Linked DNA regions of Mus musculus. The protein of the gene in region 1 interacts with the protein of each later gene in a biochemical or structural test. Links are inferred from orthologs where the notes say so. Each region holds a gene or a part of one and is shown on either strand. Other genes may lie near its edges.

The links. The genes of interacting proteins can lie anywhere in the genome.
Region 2: the proteins of Cebpb (region 1) and Kat2a form a complex in vitro, tested with the Homo sapiens proteins (2 studies listed by BioGRID, with this or other methods). The link is inferred for Mus musculus from reciprocal best matches to the Homo sapiens genes CEBPB and KAT2A.
Region 3: the proteins of Cebpb (region 1) and Smad4 form a complex in vitro, tested with the Homo sapiens proteins (2 studies listed by BioGRID and IntAct). The link is inferred for Mus musculus from reciprocal best matches to the Homo sapiens genes CEBPB and SMAD4.
Region 4: the proteins of Cebpb (region 1) and Ddit3 form a complex in vitro, tested with the Homo sapiens proteins (2 studies listed by BioGRID and IntAct, with this or other methods). The link is inferred for Mus musculus from reciprocal best matches to the Homo sapiens genes CEBPB and DDIT3.

What each region holds. Positions count from the first base shown.
Region 1 is NC_000068.7:167,687,732-167,690,938, reverse strand, and holds Cebpb (CCAAT/enhancer-binding protein beta), read right to left. Parts: upstream 2,025-3,207; 5' UTR 1,918-2,024; coding exon 1,027-1,917; 3' UTR 507-1,026; downstream 1-506. UniProt on the Homo sapiens protein: Important transcription factor regulating the expression of genes involved in immune and inflammatory responses. Also plays a significant role in adipogenesis, as well as in the gluconeogenic pathway, liver regeneration, and hematopoiesis.
Region 2 is NC_000077.6:100,709,663-100,713,780, forward strand, and holds the start of Kat2a (histone acetyltransferase KAT2A), read right to left. Parts: upstream 2,806-4,118; 5' UTR 2,743-2,805; coding exon 2,419-2,742; intron 2,275-2,418; coding exon 2,151-2,274; intron 1,817-2,150; coding exon 1,671-1,816; intron 1,568-1,670; coding exon 1,478-1,567; intron 1,242-1,477; coding exon 1,060-1,241; intron 975-1,059; coding exon 783-974; exon of another isoform or gene 588-782; intron 1-587. UniProt on the Homo sapiens protein: Protein lysine acyltransferase that can act as a acetyltransferase, glutaryltransferase, succinyltransferase or malonyltransferase, depending on the context.
Region 3 is NC_000084.6:73,700,987-73,705,158, forward strand, and holds the start of Smad4 (mothers against decapentaplegic homolog 4), read right to left. Parts: upstream 2,806-4,172; 5' UTR 2,444-2,805; intron 1-2,443. UniProt on the Homo sapiens protein: In muscle physiology, plays a central role in the balance between atrophy and hypertrophy. When recruited by MSTN, promotes atrophy response via phosphorylated SMAD2/4.
Region 4 is NC_000076.6:127,289,630-127,293,597, reverse strand, and holds the start of Ddit3 (DNA damage-inducible transcript 3 protein), read right to left. Parts: upstream 2,806-3,968; 5' UTR 2,707-2,805; exon of another isoform or gene 2,600-2,706; intron 1-2,599. UniProt on the Homo sapiens protein: Multifunctional transcription factor in endoplasmic reticulum (ER) stress response. Plays an essential role in the response to a wide variety of cell stresses and induces cell cycle arrest and apoptosis in response to ER stress.

The sequences.
Region 1 (3,207 bases):
ATAGTGAGAAAGGGAAAGCAGAGTAGGAAGTGTTCCCTTCACCTTCCTCTCGGCCCAATCTCTCTTCCAGCTACACAGGGACACAGACACCAAACAGGCGTGCGGTCTCCCCCACACCACCAAACACACAGAACTCACCTGCCCTGACCCAGCTGTCTGGACTAGCCTTTCCTACAGAATGTCTAGTCCTCTCAACACAAGTCTGACACTCAAACCAAGCCGAGGGCGGCCCGTCCCAAGCAGGGTTTCTAGCAAGTCCCCCAGCACCCGTGGGTGCTGAGTCACCCTGAATTCCTGACCTGGCACTCTGCCCCCTCTCCTGGGGGGAGGGGCTGACACCCCATCTGCCATGGGAAGAGAAAAGCCCAGATGCGACACCCCCACCCACCGCCACACACAACCCAAAAATAACCCGCAGCCCCCTACACACCAGAAACACAAAAACAAAATCTCGCATAAATCCAAAGTCGGGAGGGAAGAAAAAAAATTTTTTTTCAAAAGCCAACTACTGCCCCCAAAAGGCTTTTAAACATTCTCCAAAAAAGTTTATTAAAATGTCTTCACTTTAATGCTCGAAACGGAAAAGGTTCTCAAAATATACATACGCCTCTTTTCTCATAGAAATAGAACTTTTTTATATAATACAAAAAAAATAATAAGACCAAAAAAAAAAACAAAACAAAACAAAAAACAAAAACAAAACCAAAAACATCAACAACCCCGCAGGAACATCTTTAAGTGATTACTCAGGGCCCGGCTGACAGTTACACGTGTGTTGCGTCAGTCCCGTGTCCACACGCGCTCAGCCACGTTTGATCCGGATTGCATCAAGTCCCGAAACCCGGTGCGCTGTGCAGGTGCGTGCGCGCGGTGCCCGCGGTGTGCCCGCGGTGTCCCCTCGGTGCAGGTGCAGGTGCGCGCAGGGCACGCACGGTGGTCCGGGCGCGCGCGCGGGGCCGGAGCGCGCGGGGCAGGGCGCACGGTGCCCAGGGTGGCCGCGGCGCCCCCCACGCCACCCGCGCCGCGCTAGCAGTGGCCCGCCGAGGCCAGCAGCGGCTCGGGCAGCTGCTTGAACAAGTTCCGCAGGGTGCTGAGCTCTCGCGACAGCTGCTCCACCTTCTTCTGCAGCCGCTCGTTCTCCGCCGTCAGCTCCAGCACCTTGTGCTGCGTCTCCAGGTTGCGCATCTTGGCCTTGTCGCGGCTCTTGCGCACCGCGATGTTGTTGCGCTCGCGCCGCATCTTGTACTCGTCGCTCAGCTTGTCCACCGTCTTCTTGGCCTTGGCCTTGGCGGGCGCGGCCGGCGGCCCCGCGAAGCAGGCGGCGGGCGCGGCCTTGGCGTCGGCGGGGCTCGGCGTGCCGGGCGGGCTGGACGACGACGACGTGGACAGGCTGCCGCTGCTGCCGCTCGGCGTCGCCTGGTAGCCCAGGTAGGCGCGCAGGGCGAACGGGAAACCGGCCGCCATGGCGGGCGCGTCGTCCGCGCGCTTGCAGTCCGCGGGTTCGAAGCCCGGCTCCGCCTTGAGCGCGGCGGGAGGCGGCGGCGGGAAGCAGGCGGGCGGCGCGGCCTTGGCGCCCGCGCGGCCGAGGCTCACGTAACCGTAGTCGGCCGGCTTCTTGCTCGGCTTGGCGCCGTAGTCGTCGGCGAAGAGGTCGGAGAGGAAGTCGTGGTGCGCGGGCGCGGGCGCGGCGAAGTCCGCGGCGGGCGCGAGCGGCTCCAGGTAGGGGCTGAAGTCGATGGCGCGCTCGTGCTCGCCAATGGCCGGCTCGGCGGCGGGGGCGCGCGGCGCGGCGCGGGCCGCCTTGGCCCCGTAGGCCAGGCAGTCGGGCTCGTAGTAGAAGTTGGCCACTTCCATGGGTCTAAAGGCGGCGGGCGGCGGCGGGAGGCATGCTGCGTCCCAGGCCAGCAGGCGGTGCATGAACGCGGGGCCCGCGGGCTCCGCTGCGTCCCGGTCCCGTGCGCGGCTCGGACTCGGCGCGGCGGCGGCCGAGCGGGAGGTTTATAAGGCGGCGCCTGGCAACGGGCTGCGTCACGCTGGGGCCCCTCCCGCCGCCCCGCCACCCGGTCGGTGCGCGTCATTGCCCGGCCACGGGAGCGCGAGAGGGCGCGGCGGGGAGTGGGGCGCGGCGGGGGTCCTCGCGCGGGAGGCTGAGCGGTGACCCGGGCGTCCCGCCAGCCCCGCGATGGCCACGGACGCGGGTGACGCCAGCCCGCCCCCTTCCCGCCCCTCGGGAACACGGAGGAGCGCGGCCGCCGCCCGCCCCCTGCTGGAGGACGCGGTGGCTCGTCCCGGCTCCGGTCCGCTGTCCCGGACCCCCAACTCTTGGGAAACAGATCGTTCCTCCAGCTACACGACCCCAACCCTCGGATCCTGCCCGCTGTCCCCGGGCCCCAATTCCCTGGAAGCAGCCTTCCACGGGGTGCATGTCCTCCCACCCAGGTGCTGCCCACACCTCTGGGACCCCCCCCCCAACTCCTGGGAAGCAGAACTCTCCAGGTGCACGCCCACCCCGGGGATGCTCGCTGTCCTGGATCCCAGCCCTCCACCCTATGTATGGCCCGCCTACCGCACCTGCCTACGCCACTCCCTGCGCCTCTCCATGAAGGTGGCAGGGCTGGGGGTTCTGCCACACTGTGTCTGGGTGAGTCACTTTGCTTCTGAGTTCCCTCCGTGGACAGTGTTGGTATTGTTAGTAGTGGTGTCATCAGAGACAAACGGACCCCCGAGAAGTACGATGCCTTCCTAAGACCTGCACAGCCCTGCCCAGAGGCTTCTCAGGTGATTGCGGTGGGAGCATGGTAGACCCCACTCCAGCCATAAGGACCCAGCGGTCACCCTGCAAGCTGGGGAGGCAACCCCTCCACCCCGTGCACTTGAATGGGCTGGGATCACCAGCCTCTCTCCGGTGAGACCCTTTTGAGGACGCCCAGGGCAACTCTTGGGGCCCACCCTTCTGCCACTCCTAGGTGGGCCACTCAAGCAGGAGCTGCCAACCTGTCAGGGGCTGACCCCCGACCCATTGACCCCAGCCCTGGCCCCGGCAAGCTGGCGGGGTGTTGCTCAACCTTCGGTGTTATCTGCTGAGCTGGGGTGACCTCCGCCCCCAAGAGCTGGAGAAATGACATCTCCCTGTGCCCTTGGGGGTGGGGGGCAGGGAGGGAAAGGGTAAGACGCTAGCCCTGCCTGCCTGCGGCTTTCTGGCCTTCC
Region 2 (4,118 bases), on another chromosome or scaffold:
CTTCTGCTCAGGATAGGACATAGCCAGGATAGAGACTGGAGACCCAATTTTGTCATGATGTGTGGCCAAGGAGAACGGGTCTGAGCGGATGCCATCCTATGCTGTGTGGCTAGGCAGGGCACCCACCCAGTCACCTGAATTGCCTTAGTCCCCTCTCTATCAGACTGGTCTAGAATGAGCCAATCTTGTCACCTCTTGTTCCCACATGCTTGTTCCCAGATTCAAATGGGAAGAAGATGTGGAACAACAGAGGCACAGAGATAGGTAATGGCTTCACTTCAAAAGTAAACTCTAAGCCAGGCGTGGTGGCGCATGCCTTTAATCCCAGCACTTGGGAGGCAGAGGCAGGCGGATTTCTGAGTTCAAGGCCAGCCTGGTCTACAAAGTGAGTTCCCGGACAGCCAAGGCTACACAGAGAAACCCTGTCTGGAAAAAACAAATAAACAAACAAAAAAAGTAAACTCTAGACTTCTCAGAGCACTGTGGTAGGAGGGGCTCTGGGGTGATATCCACACACCCAGAGGAAACTAATTAGTAACTATCTATCAGGGGGCTGAAAGAGGGTAGCGTTAGCTTGGGCCATGTACCTGCCATCCCCAGACTAGCACATACTAGCAAGTAGCTTCTGGGCCATGGGCAAATCTGCCAGGTAGACACCCAGATCCCAGAAGGCCCATGGAGGGAGAGGAGGGACCAATCCAGGAAGCCTTCCTGGAAAAAAGGGGACAACAGCAAGGACATGAATTTGGGGTAAAATCCCAGGAGGCCAGACTGAGCCTTACTTGGGGAAGTGAGTGAGGATGAGGGTCCTCTTCTCAGGCACCAGTTTGTCCTTTTCCACCCGAAATTTTTCCAGTAGCTGCCGGCGGGTGACAGTGAAAATGGACCGTAGAAGGCTTCGGCCAAACACGTGGGTGGTCTCGTAGCGGGGGAGGCTGTCGCAGCTCTGGGGCACGTGGCAGTAACAGAGCCATCTGGGGGAGGTGGAGCGGCAGGTGAGGGTGGAGACCGCCAGACTGGCTGTTCAAGCCTCCCCTGTAAGGCCCTGTCTGGGCTTACCTGGTATAATTGACTTTGTAGGTAGCGACATCCTCAGACTGGGACCGCTGCCGGAATTGAGCAGGGGTCTCCAGCTTCCAGTAGTTAAGGCAGAGCAGGAACATCTTTGAGAGCTCAAACATTGTCTGGCGCTCTCGGGGGGCCAGGTGGCTAAATTTGTACTGCACAAAGTTCAGTACACCCTGAGGAGTAAGGAGGGGACAAAATCAGGAGGAGGTGTGGACAGCCAACAGAGGCATGTCAAATAGGAGGGATTCTGTGAAGAGAACCTCTGACCCTTCCAACTTCCACACCCACTCTGAGGTCAGCAAACACCATGTCCCTTCCTTGAACCTCTCCCCTGTTCTCAGCTTGAGGAAATAAACCAGACTCTCCACCCTCTTAAGTCGCCTTTAATCTTGCTACATGCCCGCCCTACCTGTTCAATGTTAGGCTTCTCAAATGGGGGGCTGCCTAGAGACCCCTCCACCACTGGCCGTGTCATCTGCAGAATGCACTTCCGCAAGAGCTGTAAGGAAGAGGGATGGGCAGAAACAGGAGTAGCAGAGCTCAGAGAGCAGGATCCCCAACACACACCAAAGCTTCACCATCTTTACTCCATGAGAACTCACCTTGAAGAGGTAGAAATAGACTTGTTTGGTGTCTGTGTCCTCTTCCTTGTGAACAGACATGAACAGATTTTCTACATCTACTACCATTCCCAAGAGCCGGTTAATCTCGTCCTCTGACACATTCTCCAGGTGGGACACATGGTCCGCTGCAAGATGGTTACATTAGGGCTGGGAAGAACAGAAGAGCTCCACGGGGCTTGATTCCTGTACCTCCTCTAACTAGCCAGTGACACACCCTTGATTCTCCAATTCTTGACAGACAGGGAGACCCAGTGTTCTCAGTTCTCCCATCAGCCCTTGGTAGCTACCTGCTACCAAGGCAGATCTCCTTTTTTCCTTCCATGGGACATTCACATTTATTCCCTACCCAATATTTCCTTAGAAGGTCTCCAAGAAGCTCTGTGGTACTTATGTCACCCTGTTCAAACAGGACCTGGCTCCTGCCCTCCGCCCCAGCTCCAAAGGTGGTGCCTGCCTTACCCAAAGGGTGCTCACAGCTACGGCACAACTCGCTCAGGTTGGCAGCTGGCTGCTGGAGGTCCATGCGGGGTGCGGTGGGGGGCTTGGGGTTTTTCCAGCCATTACACTTGCAGGTTTCATTGGCCTGGAGGGGGAAGGTTCAGTTCCCTGATGCTGTCTGCATCCCAAGCGCAAGAGCGGCTCTATGGCTAGAGCTTCGCCCCCCATTCCTACCCCAGACCTTGGATGCCCCAAGCCCCGCCCCTTTTGCTCTAGGCCCCGCCCCCACCTTGCAAGCTGAGAAGACCCCTAGTTTCTCAAGCTTCTTGGCACGCGGCAGACCCCGGACTTGCGCCTTCCTCTGGCTAGCGCGCTGCTGCTGGCTCAGGCCAGGTCGAGCCGGATCCCCCCCACTTCCTACCCCGGCGCCCCCACTCCCTGTGCTCCCAGCTGGGGCTGCAGCTGGGGCAGGGGCTGGTGCCGGAGTCGGAGCCGGAGTGGAGGCTGAAGCCGGACTGGGCGCAGGAGTCGAAGTTGGGGCAGGGGCTGGGGAGTGAAGGGGCCGGGGCTGCGCTGCCGGGACCGGGTTTGGGGCCTGGGAAGGTTCCGCCATGGCCTCCCCCGCAGCGGAGCGGCGCCGCGCTCCCAGCCCTAGGGCCGCATGGGCAACCGGCGCACAGTGCGCAGGCGTCACGGCCCCGGCGCACGATGGGAGTCGTAGTCTTCCTTTGCCGCTTCCCATCCTTTGGCCTTCCATACTTTTTTTTTTCTTGGTTCCAGACAACCAAATGTCGCTTGGTTGAGCATCCTAGATTTGACCATTACTTCATTCTAATCTTTTTTAAGCCATCCGAGATAGTGACAATTACTATCCTCTTGGGAACAAGAGGCACCCCAGAACACTGGCCGTCTGGAGGATTTGTGGATGCTGCCCTTTTAAAGTCCATAGGTGGAAGAACAGGCCTGGGCCTGAGGTTGGCTCCCACATTGCAAAAGCCTGCCCTATTGTGGCTGCCGGCTAAGGCTTGCAGCTACAATAGAGATAAAATGTAACATTAATTCTACTATTTGTACTGTGGTGTTCACACTTATGAATTAACTTTGACAATCAGTTTTTGGGTTTTGTTTTGTTTTGTTTTATTTTGTTTTTTGAGACAGGGTTTCTCTGTGAAGCCCTGGCTGTCCTGGAACTCATTCTGTAGACCAGGCTGACCTCGAACTCAGAAATCCGCCTGGCTCTGCTTCCCAAGTGCTGGGATTAAAGGCATGCGCCATCACTGCCCAGTGACAATCAGCTTTTTCTATACTTGGGTTGCTGTTAAACAGAAACGGTTTTATTTTCAAAAGAACAAAGAGACATAGTTGTGGGCCATGCTGCTGTTGAATGTGTGTGTTCATGCACGGGCATTCGTGTGTGTGTGTGTGTGTGTGTGTTGGGAGTGGGCAGGAAAGGGGGGGGGGAGTGTGTTTGTGTGTGCTGAGAACTAAAGAACCAGAGAGACCAACACTGAAGATGCGGAGGGTAGGGGGTGGTCCCCTCTTCTGGCTCGCCTAGGCAGCTTTGAAGATGGAGAGGATTCCTGACCTCATACCCTTCCATCCTACCTCCATCTTTTTCCCTGCCCACTCCTTAATGGGGGGGTGGGGGTGGAGGAAAGCCAGAGAAATAGACAGTTTCTTCCCATTGTAGAGGTAGACTGTGAAAGGTCAGGGATAGTTCTTCCTGGAAGATCAGAAAGGCCCCCTCTTTTGGCTCAGTCCAGAGAACAATTTTCCTTGCCCCAGGCCCGATTCTTAAAAGGGCAGGGTAGGGCAGGGCCGGCAGGGCAGGGCAGGGCAGAGCAAGCCAGACCTTTTCAACCCCGTTGCTCAATCCCATCAGCTCCCAGGATGGAGCTGTAACCCCGCACATTCAGGTGATCCAGTTCCTTCATAGCCTCCTTCCTGCCCTCTGATGTGAGAGAAGGGCCCAGGGAGAAGCAGAAGCCG
Region 3 (4,172 bases), on another chromosome or scaffold:
GAAAGCTATTACAAGATGCTTATAAAGAGACACTCATTCTGGGTGAATCAAAAATGAAAAGAAAAACAAAAACCTAGGCATCAACTAGATGGGGGACAAAATAGAACTGAAGTAGGTAATATTTCATCAAAAACAAAAAAGAAAAAAAAAAGGATTGTGCTCTCATCTAGAGATCAAATTTTAAAGAAGCCCAAATATGCACTTTAGATTTAACCAACTCTGCAGACTCTGCAGGGTTAACTGCCCTGGTACAGGCCCCAGCTATGCACAGCTCAATTAGAATAGTGTGTGCCAATGTTACTATAACTCTGGCTCAGTTAGAAAAATAAAAAAACAGGTTCTAACGGGGGGGGGGGGGGGGGGGGATCCTGCATAAAGTATTTTACTATTCCACCATTAATACGGCCCCTCCCCCGTGTGTGTGAAGCAGAGAATCCAGAGACAAAACTCACCAACAGAAACACTTGAATTAACATGTAGCATACATGAAAATGACCTTAAAGAAAGAGCAAGATCTGTACAACTCATATAATCAGAACTATTTCAAGAGCAAAACCATCAGGGAAGTTCAGGTCCATATAAAACACACGCCAAATCACTGCACTGACTTGTTTAGCACAAATTTTCCTTAATTCTGTAAACACAATTTTAATTCTTCCCAACTTAAGATTTACAGTGGAAGCATTTAGTCCAAAAGTGTCAACTACATCTTCAAAAACAAAAATATGTAATACCCCTTTAATGCATACTCACTCAAAAGCCTAGAAAGCAAAAAAAAAAAAAAAAAAAAAAAAGCCACCTGTCTTAAGACAGTGACAAAAAACTAAAAACCTTTATGTCAATTCTCTTTGGAAAGGATTTGTTTTAATTCCGGCAATTGAAGCCTACATAATTCATCACATCAGAAGCTGCTTCAGGCTATGGGTATTAGTCTGCCTCGGTGCATGTTTGTAACCAGGTCACTGAAGAAAACACACTCCTGAGCCTATGAGCACCGTGTCGCAATTTTGTATCCCAGCTCCGGAGAAGCTGAGAGACACGGATGGTCAGGAGTTGAAGAGAGGAGCAGGAAGCCCTAGAGACTCATGACAGTACACTGAACAAAGCATTAGGGAGAAACTGTATTTTAAGAAATATTAAAGCAATCATTTACACTCTGAAATAACACGTACTAATCCTACCAGATAGATCCAAGAGATAGAGTCTACAGTAGGGAGAAGTTTACTTCTCTGAATAGCCTATGCTACATACATTTCAACTGCAAGCGCTTCATATCCTGAATGCAAGGTAAACCTGTAAAATCTGTAACAAAAACTATTCAAATGCGGTGCTTGAAATCTAATTGCTTTGTGGAATTTATAATAGATTTCTGTACATTCAGTTAAGATTCCACACGGTTTGTGTCAGCAGAAAGTCCTGAACCTGATTCTTAAAACGTTCAAAGTCTCAAGCTACTACTGAGAGGAAAAGGATGCTAAATCTGGCAAAATTCAACGATTGTTAAAAAATTAAGCGAGATTACAAGCCTGCAGAACACGAATTCAAGGTACTTAAAATAACTCCCTCTTTATCTCGTTACTTTATTTCTAAGTAAGTGACAATCCCACCTTAAGTTATCAGAAACTGAAGGCACTGATAAATTCTAAAATGAATTACCTGAAAACCAACTTTAAAAATTAAGTTTACTCCAGGTTTTGTGGGGTGGGGCAGTGGGGAGGAGCTATCAATAAACAGGGCTTTTTAAAACCTCTGGCAAAGGAACCTTTCAAGTTAACTAAACACGCCCTTGTCTTTGAAAATCTGGCTTGAGAAATCATAACAGCAGTTTGGGGTGCTGAAGCCAACGCCCTCCACCCTCCACCAATTTCACGCTCCGTGCATGTAGCCCTAACAATAAAATAAACTACGCCTTTTATTAGGAGACACGTTTTATTAGGGGAGGGTGGTTCAGTTTGGCGCTAAGAGTGTCTCCCGCACGCCGCCATCACCCACAATACCCAAAAAGTAAACAAATCAAAGCTACAAACGTAAACTCAGAGCACACAACCAGGAAGAGAAAGTGGGGACAAAGAGAAAACAAACACTTGCTGGGGGGTGGGGGAGGTGGGGAAGGCACGAGGACCCGACCCGGGGCACCCCGGGCATAACGCACTCGGGCCGGGCCGACGCGACGGCCCGGGCCGCGGCCAAACTCCTCCCGAACAACAAAGAGCGGCGGCACGGACGGGGACCGGCGACCGAGTTCCCGGGACGGCGGGCTCGCCTAACTGCGAGAGGAGTTGGGGCCCGGGAGCCACGCGCGGGCACGCGAAGCCCCGGACGCGCGGGGGCGACCCACCCGAGCCCCGCTGGGCCCACGCTCGCGCCGGTCGCCGCGGGAGCCCGCCCCGGGGCGGGGAAGCGCGGGCGCCGAGGCCCCGGTTAGGGGAGGACCGCGCGTTACCTGGGCTCCGCGCCGCACCGCGCCTCGCCTCGCTGTCGCTTCCCGGGCCCCGCCCGCGGCGTCCGGCCCAGGCGGCCCCCTCTCCCCGCCGCGCCGCGGACCGCGCCGGCCGGCCGGGCCGCTGGAGCTCCGGAGCCGCCCCGCTGCGGGGGGCCTCGCTCGCGGGCGCCGGCTCCGGTCACGCGCTCCCGCCCCGGGGACGGCCGCGGAGCGGAGCGCGGCGCGGGAAGGGCCTCCGGAGGACGGCGGGCGGGCGGGCGGACGGACGCGAACACGGGCTCCGCCACCCGAGCCGCTCCGTTACCGCAGCGGCGACGACGACCAGGGCCGTGTTGTTGCTGCCAACTTGTCGGAAGGACACTGAGCATGCGCGCGCGGAGACCACATCCGGGTAATTTCAGGGTTTGGCCCTTCCCTCCCCCGCTCCCCTCCCGCAGCGCTCCTTTCTCCCCGCTGCCCCCGCCTCCCGCCCAGAGCAGGGAGGGTCCCAGTGCGCAGGCGCCCGCGGGCAGCCCGGCGGCTCTGGCTGAGTTTGAGCAGCGAGCGAGCAACGGCGCCGGAGGGGAGTCGCCTTTTCGCAGGATGCCCTCTTCAGACACGGAGTGCGGTTCACAGAGTACCCAAGCAGCGTGGGACAGCTCGGGATGAGCGATGGGCAGGCCCGCCGGGTTGGGTTGGCTTTTGAAGACCTTGGTGGACACAGCTGGACCGAGTGCGGGTGTTTGTAGCAGTTTACTTCCGAGCGGATCTCTCACTCTGTCCCTTTCATCACACCGGCTCCAAAAGGTTGAGCTCGGAGGCGCGCGCGACAGTCAAGGAGTCACATTCCAGGGCCTAGCCCGAGGTGGCCAAACGTGAGCAGTTGGGAAAGAGGCGGGAATTTCGAGTTGGAGGCGACCTTCAAGACTTGCTTAAGTGTACACCTGCTAAATAGGTTGTGCAGGCTGGGATGTAAAGAAAGCTCAGTTTCAGAACTTCACACCTTACAAAACAAGTCAAAACTACCTCTCATTACTTAAGTGGTCCGCTATCTAAAACTTTCAGGGCAACGTAAAGGGACAGTTCAAAATTTGTTGTCCATATACAAAGCCCTGGGTCCATCCCACCACAAAAGTGGTGCATTTGGTGGCAAAAGGCCCGTCTTTGATTTTGACTTTGTACTTACTTTCTTGTATAATTTTATGAATATTGTACTTAGTAGCTAGAACACAAGCCTGCCGTATAGTCCCTGGCTTTAAATCACAGCCCATGCATGTAAATCTTAGCCCTTGGGAAGCAGAGACAGAAGGAGCTCCAGCCTGGTGGATTTACGTGGCAAATTTCAAACCAGGACTAAATAGACAGACCCTAACTTTAAATTTATTCAGACGTCTAGGAAACATGAATTATATGTTGTCTTTTTGTTTCCTTTTTCACCTTCCCTCGGGGTTCCTTCTAGTACAGCTGTTAGACCAAGTCATTTCTTAAGTCTGTTGGAGAAACTTTACAACACACACCAATGTGTAACACTGCCCCCCCAGGGTAAGCCAAAGGGACAATTCAAAAGTTGATGTCTGCAATGAGAAAATAAATCACTTAAATGAATCGATAGTAGAATTTCCTTCACAAATCCAATTCTTCATTGTCATCAAAATTGATAGGTGCAGTACAAATTGAGTTATATATAAAAAGAGAGAGAGAGAGAGATATGAAGTTAGGAAAAGGATATTCCAGTGGGGGAGTCCAGGAG
Region 4 (3,968 bases), on another chromosome or scaffold:
CCTCTCTAGATCCTTTCTAACTCCTCCTAGCCCTTTTCTAGATCCTTTCTAAAATGGGTTGTGAGATGGTTTCTTTGTGCATCCCTGGGCATCCTGGAATTCTGGAACTCAACAACTCTGCAGACCAGGCTCCAGTTCTTCTCTTGTAATACACACACACACATACAGAGGTGTGTGTGTCTTGCAGCGGGTGTGTCCCTGAAGCCATTTCTTCTCTTGTAATACACACACACACACAGGCGTGTGTCTTGCAGCGTGTGTGTCCCTGAAGCCAACTCCAAGGACAGAGGCAGGCTTAACTTTATTTTTAGTTGCTGACATTTGCCGTCTTGATTACATAATAGCAAAGTCCTGGCCAACTAAGTTTTCTCTAAATCCCAGATAGACCTCAAGTCCGCCAAAGGGAGACAGAACTAGAGGGAAGGAAGAGTAAACTCAGCAGTGCTTGCTCAGATTCCATCCCCCCACTGGCAGCCTCAGTGCAGACCTGCTCTGGGATCTCCAGCTCCTTGGCAGTGTTGAGCAGGCGTTCAGCTTACATGAAAGGCCTTTCCTACCAAGGCTGTATAGTTCTTACTAAATGGCAACTCTAGGTGCTGAAAGCCAAAAACTTTGGTATCCTTGATGCCCCTTTCTCAGATACCACAGCTCAGCCTAAAGCACTGACAACTTTAAAAGTACCCCAAACCTAAGTATTTCTCATTACTACATTATTTCCAGATGCAATTTTTTATTTTTCATTTATTTATTTTTTTGGTTTTTCTTGACAGGGTTTCTCTGTGTAGCCTTGGCTGTCCTGGAACTCACTGTGGACAAGGCTGGCCTCGAATTCAGAAATCCGCCTGTCTCTGTCTCCCAAATGCTGGGATTAAAGGCGTGCACCACCACTGCCTGGCTCCAGATATAAATTTACCATACATTTCTTTCCCTGGATTATTTTGGAAGCCTCTTTGAAATCTCTCCTTTCTTTCTTCCTTTCCTTTCCTTTCTTTCTCTTTTAGACAGGGTCTCACTATGTAGCTTTTGCTGTCCTGGAACTTGCTTTGTAGACTCTCTGGCTTTGAATTTAGATCTGCCTGCCTTTCAAGTGCTGGGATTAAAGGCTGTGCCACTATGTTCAGCTGAGACCTCCTGTTTCTATTCTTGTCTTTTACTTTATTTTCACGGCTGTGGGTTGACCTAGGGTCCTCTACATACCAGGCAAGCAGTGTACTATTGAGCTACATACCTAACCCTTTGTTTTTGTATTTATTTTGAGTCAGGGTCTCATAATGTAGCCCTGGCTGGCCTGGAGCTCAGAGATCTGCCTCTCTGAGTGCTGGAATTAAATGCATGTGCTATGATCATTCCTCTGCTCAGATCCCCCAATGGCTTCCTGTTTCATGATTGTTAAAGATTAGCATCATGAGGGTGCTTGCAAGGCTCTATGAGACCGGCTGCTTGAGTTTCCTTTCATCACCCTCTCCTGCTTACTCTAGTCCTGTTCCTAAAGATACCGGCATGGCATGCTTATCTTAACTCTGTTGCTCAGCCTCTCCCTTCTATAAAGCTCTAACACCGGGGCTTGGCTCACAGGCTTGGCTTCTGATGACAACCTCTAGTCACCGCCCTGAACTATTCTGCCCTGCTTTTGTTTTTTTTTTCCCTTTTGCTTTATACTGAAATGTAAGTTTTATTGAGAACAGTTTTATCTTTTGCTCCTAATATACCCTGGGTCCCCAGATACTTGGTACATAGTGGGTGCTTATTAGGCATTTGTTAGGAATGAATGGGGAAAAAGCCCCTCCCCCAAGTTCCCTTATAGAGAATTAAGCCCACTGAGCCTAAAGGCAGAGCGGAGCTGGCTGTCTCTGGGGACTGCAGATGCAATATTGCCCTGAGTGTTTCTCTGCAGGGTTGTCCTCTAGGGAAAACTCCCTTGGTCTTCCAGTGTGTGGGACCTGGCTTTCATCAGCAGAGGAGCCCCAGGCCTGAGGGTGCAGAGACAAACAGTGGGCTGGCCTGACGCAATGGTTACACAGTTTAGTTAGGAGACGGGACTGAGGAAAGAAGCAGAGATCAATCAGCCCTGGGAGAAGCAGAAGACCCTGGAGAGATCCCAAATAATTTCCCATAGTTAAAGAGATCCAGGCTGCTCTCTTGTATGGAAACCTAGAAACCTCTGGGGAAAAGGGAAAAACCCATCTATGCTCCTCCCACCAGCACCCCCACTCGCAAAGATCTGTCAGTCTTCGCGTTCTCTTGAACTTGAGAGTCAGCTACTAACGTGGCCATGTTGGCCCCTTGACTGAGGCGCTTCAGCTTGAAAGAGTTGGGGGGAATGAGGCTGGTGAAGAAAAGGCTGAGACAGCCAGAGTCCCCGACTTTGGGGGTGTGTCCTGCTGCCCCGCCTTTCCTGCGAACTGCCCAGGCCTAAGCTGGCCCGCAGTTCGCACTACAGAGACAAGTTCCCGAAGGCAACCGGAGTCCCTCTGCAGAGTGGGGACCAACTCGAGACAAGGGAACGGGAATGCAATCGCCCAATGCAAGAGAGGGCCTGTAAGCACCATTCCTGAATCAGGGATTCCCGGCCTTCACCCTTCCCAGTCTACAAGCTTACAGTGGAAGGGGTGGGGCTACATCCTCCAGAACAGTTGTCTCCAACTTTATAAAATAGCTATGCTGGCCAGGATGGGAAGGTAAGGGTTAGACGGAGCCAGTACTCGCCTCTCTCCTCAGGTTCCGGCTGTTATTCTGGCTCTGTCGCTGCCACCCGCTCATCTTCAACATGATATAATCGACGTGTTAGGCTCAAGATAACTGACCTCAAGAGCGGAGAGCGAGTATCCTTTATGCTGTCCGGCCCCTCCTGGGGGGGGGGCAGGGTCCAGGAGCCTACCAATCAGAAAGCGGCACGCTGGCACTGGCTCCGCCTCATCCCTTACATCCGCCACTCAGGAGTCTCACGGCCCCACCCCCATCGCGCCCTCTGGCTTGAGAGTCTACGTTGTCTCGGACCCGGAAGTGGCTTTGGGTCACGCGGCTTCGCGGAGGAGGTGAGTGAGTCATGCGCGCGCGCGGAGGAGAGCGCGGCGAGGGAGGGGATGGGGGGGCGGGGATGATGCAATGTTTGGCAACCGGTGTCCGCGCGCGCACGCGCAGGGGACGTCGATGGTGGTGGGAGGTGCGGGAGGGGGGCTATGGGGGAGAGAGGAAAGAGGGCGGAGCGCCAGCTCCCAGTGTCCAACGGCCCCAACGGCTGTCCTTCCTGAACTTGTCTGCCCACCTCCCATCACCTTTAACTTACTCCTCCATGAAAGGCTCCCATTTTCCCTGGCCCCTCCCAGCTAATGGGCACCGGGGCTCTGGAACCTCTTTAAAGTTTCCAATTTGTTCACCTGGATTGACATCTCCTCGAATCTTTTAAGAGCTCTCCTCCTCTTTTAGCCTTCTAATGCGTCCCAAAGACTGAGTTCCTTGATAGTCCACCCGCTTCTCTCAGAGAGGCACCTTTAACGCTTGTTTCTGAATCGTCCATTACGTGCTAGGATTGAAGTTCTTTACAGAGTGTAGATTGCTGCCTCCTCCTCATCCCACCCCTGCTTTGTGTGATGCTCTTACGCCCTTCACTAAGCCCAGTATCCACCCTCTTCCTTCTCCGAGATAGCGAGTCCTGTGACTCCCTGCTGAGGAGCTGGCCTCCTGCCTCTAGCTGTCTGAGTTCACGACCTACAGTAGAGCCTGGGACGTGCATGCACTTGAACGCATGATTGCCCTGGACTGGGTCATCAGAGGAAACACAGATTCTAGTTTAATTTGTCCAAGGATTCTACCTTACTCATTTGTAAATTAAACAACGATAAAGGTAAAAAGCAGCTCTGTGGAGAAAACTTGAGTAAAAGTAAAAACATCTTGCAAAACGTATTTTTTTTTTTTTGTGCCATGAAAACAGAGGCCATGTGGTGGCCTATTACATAGTCTGTCGTAGA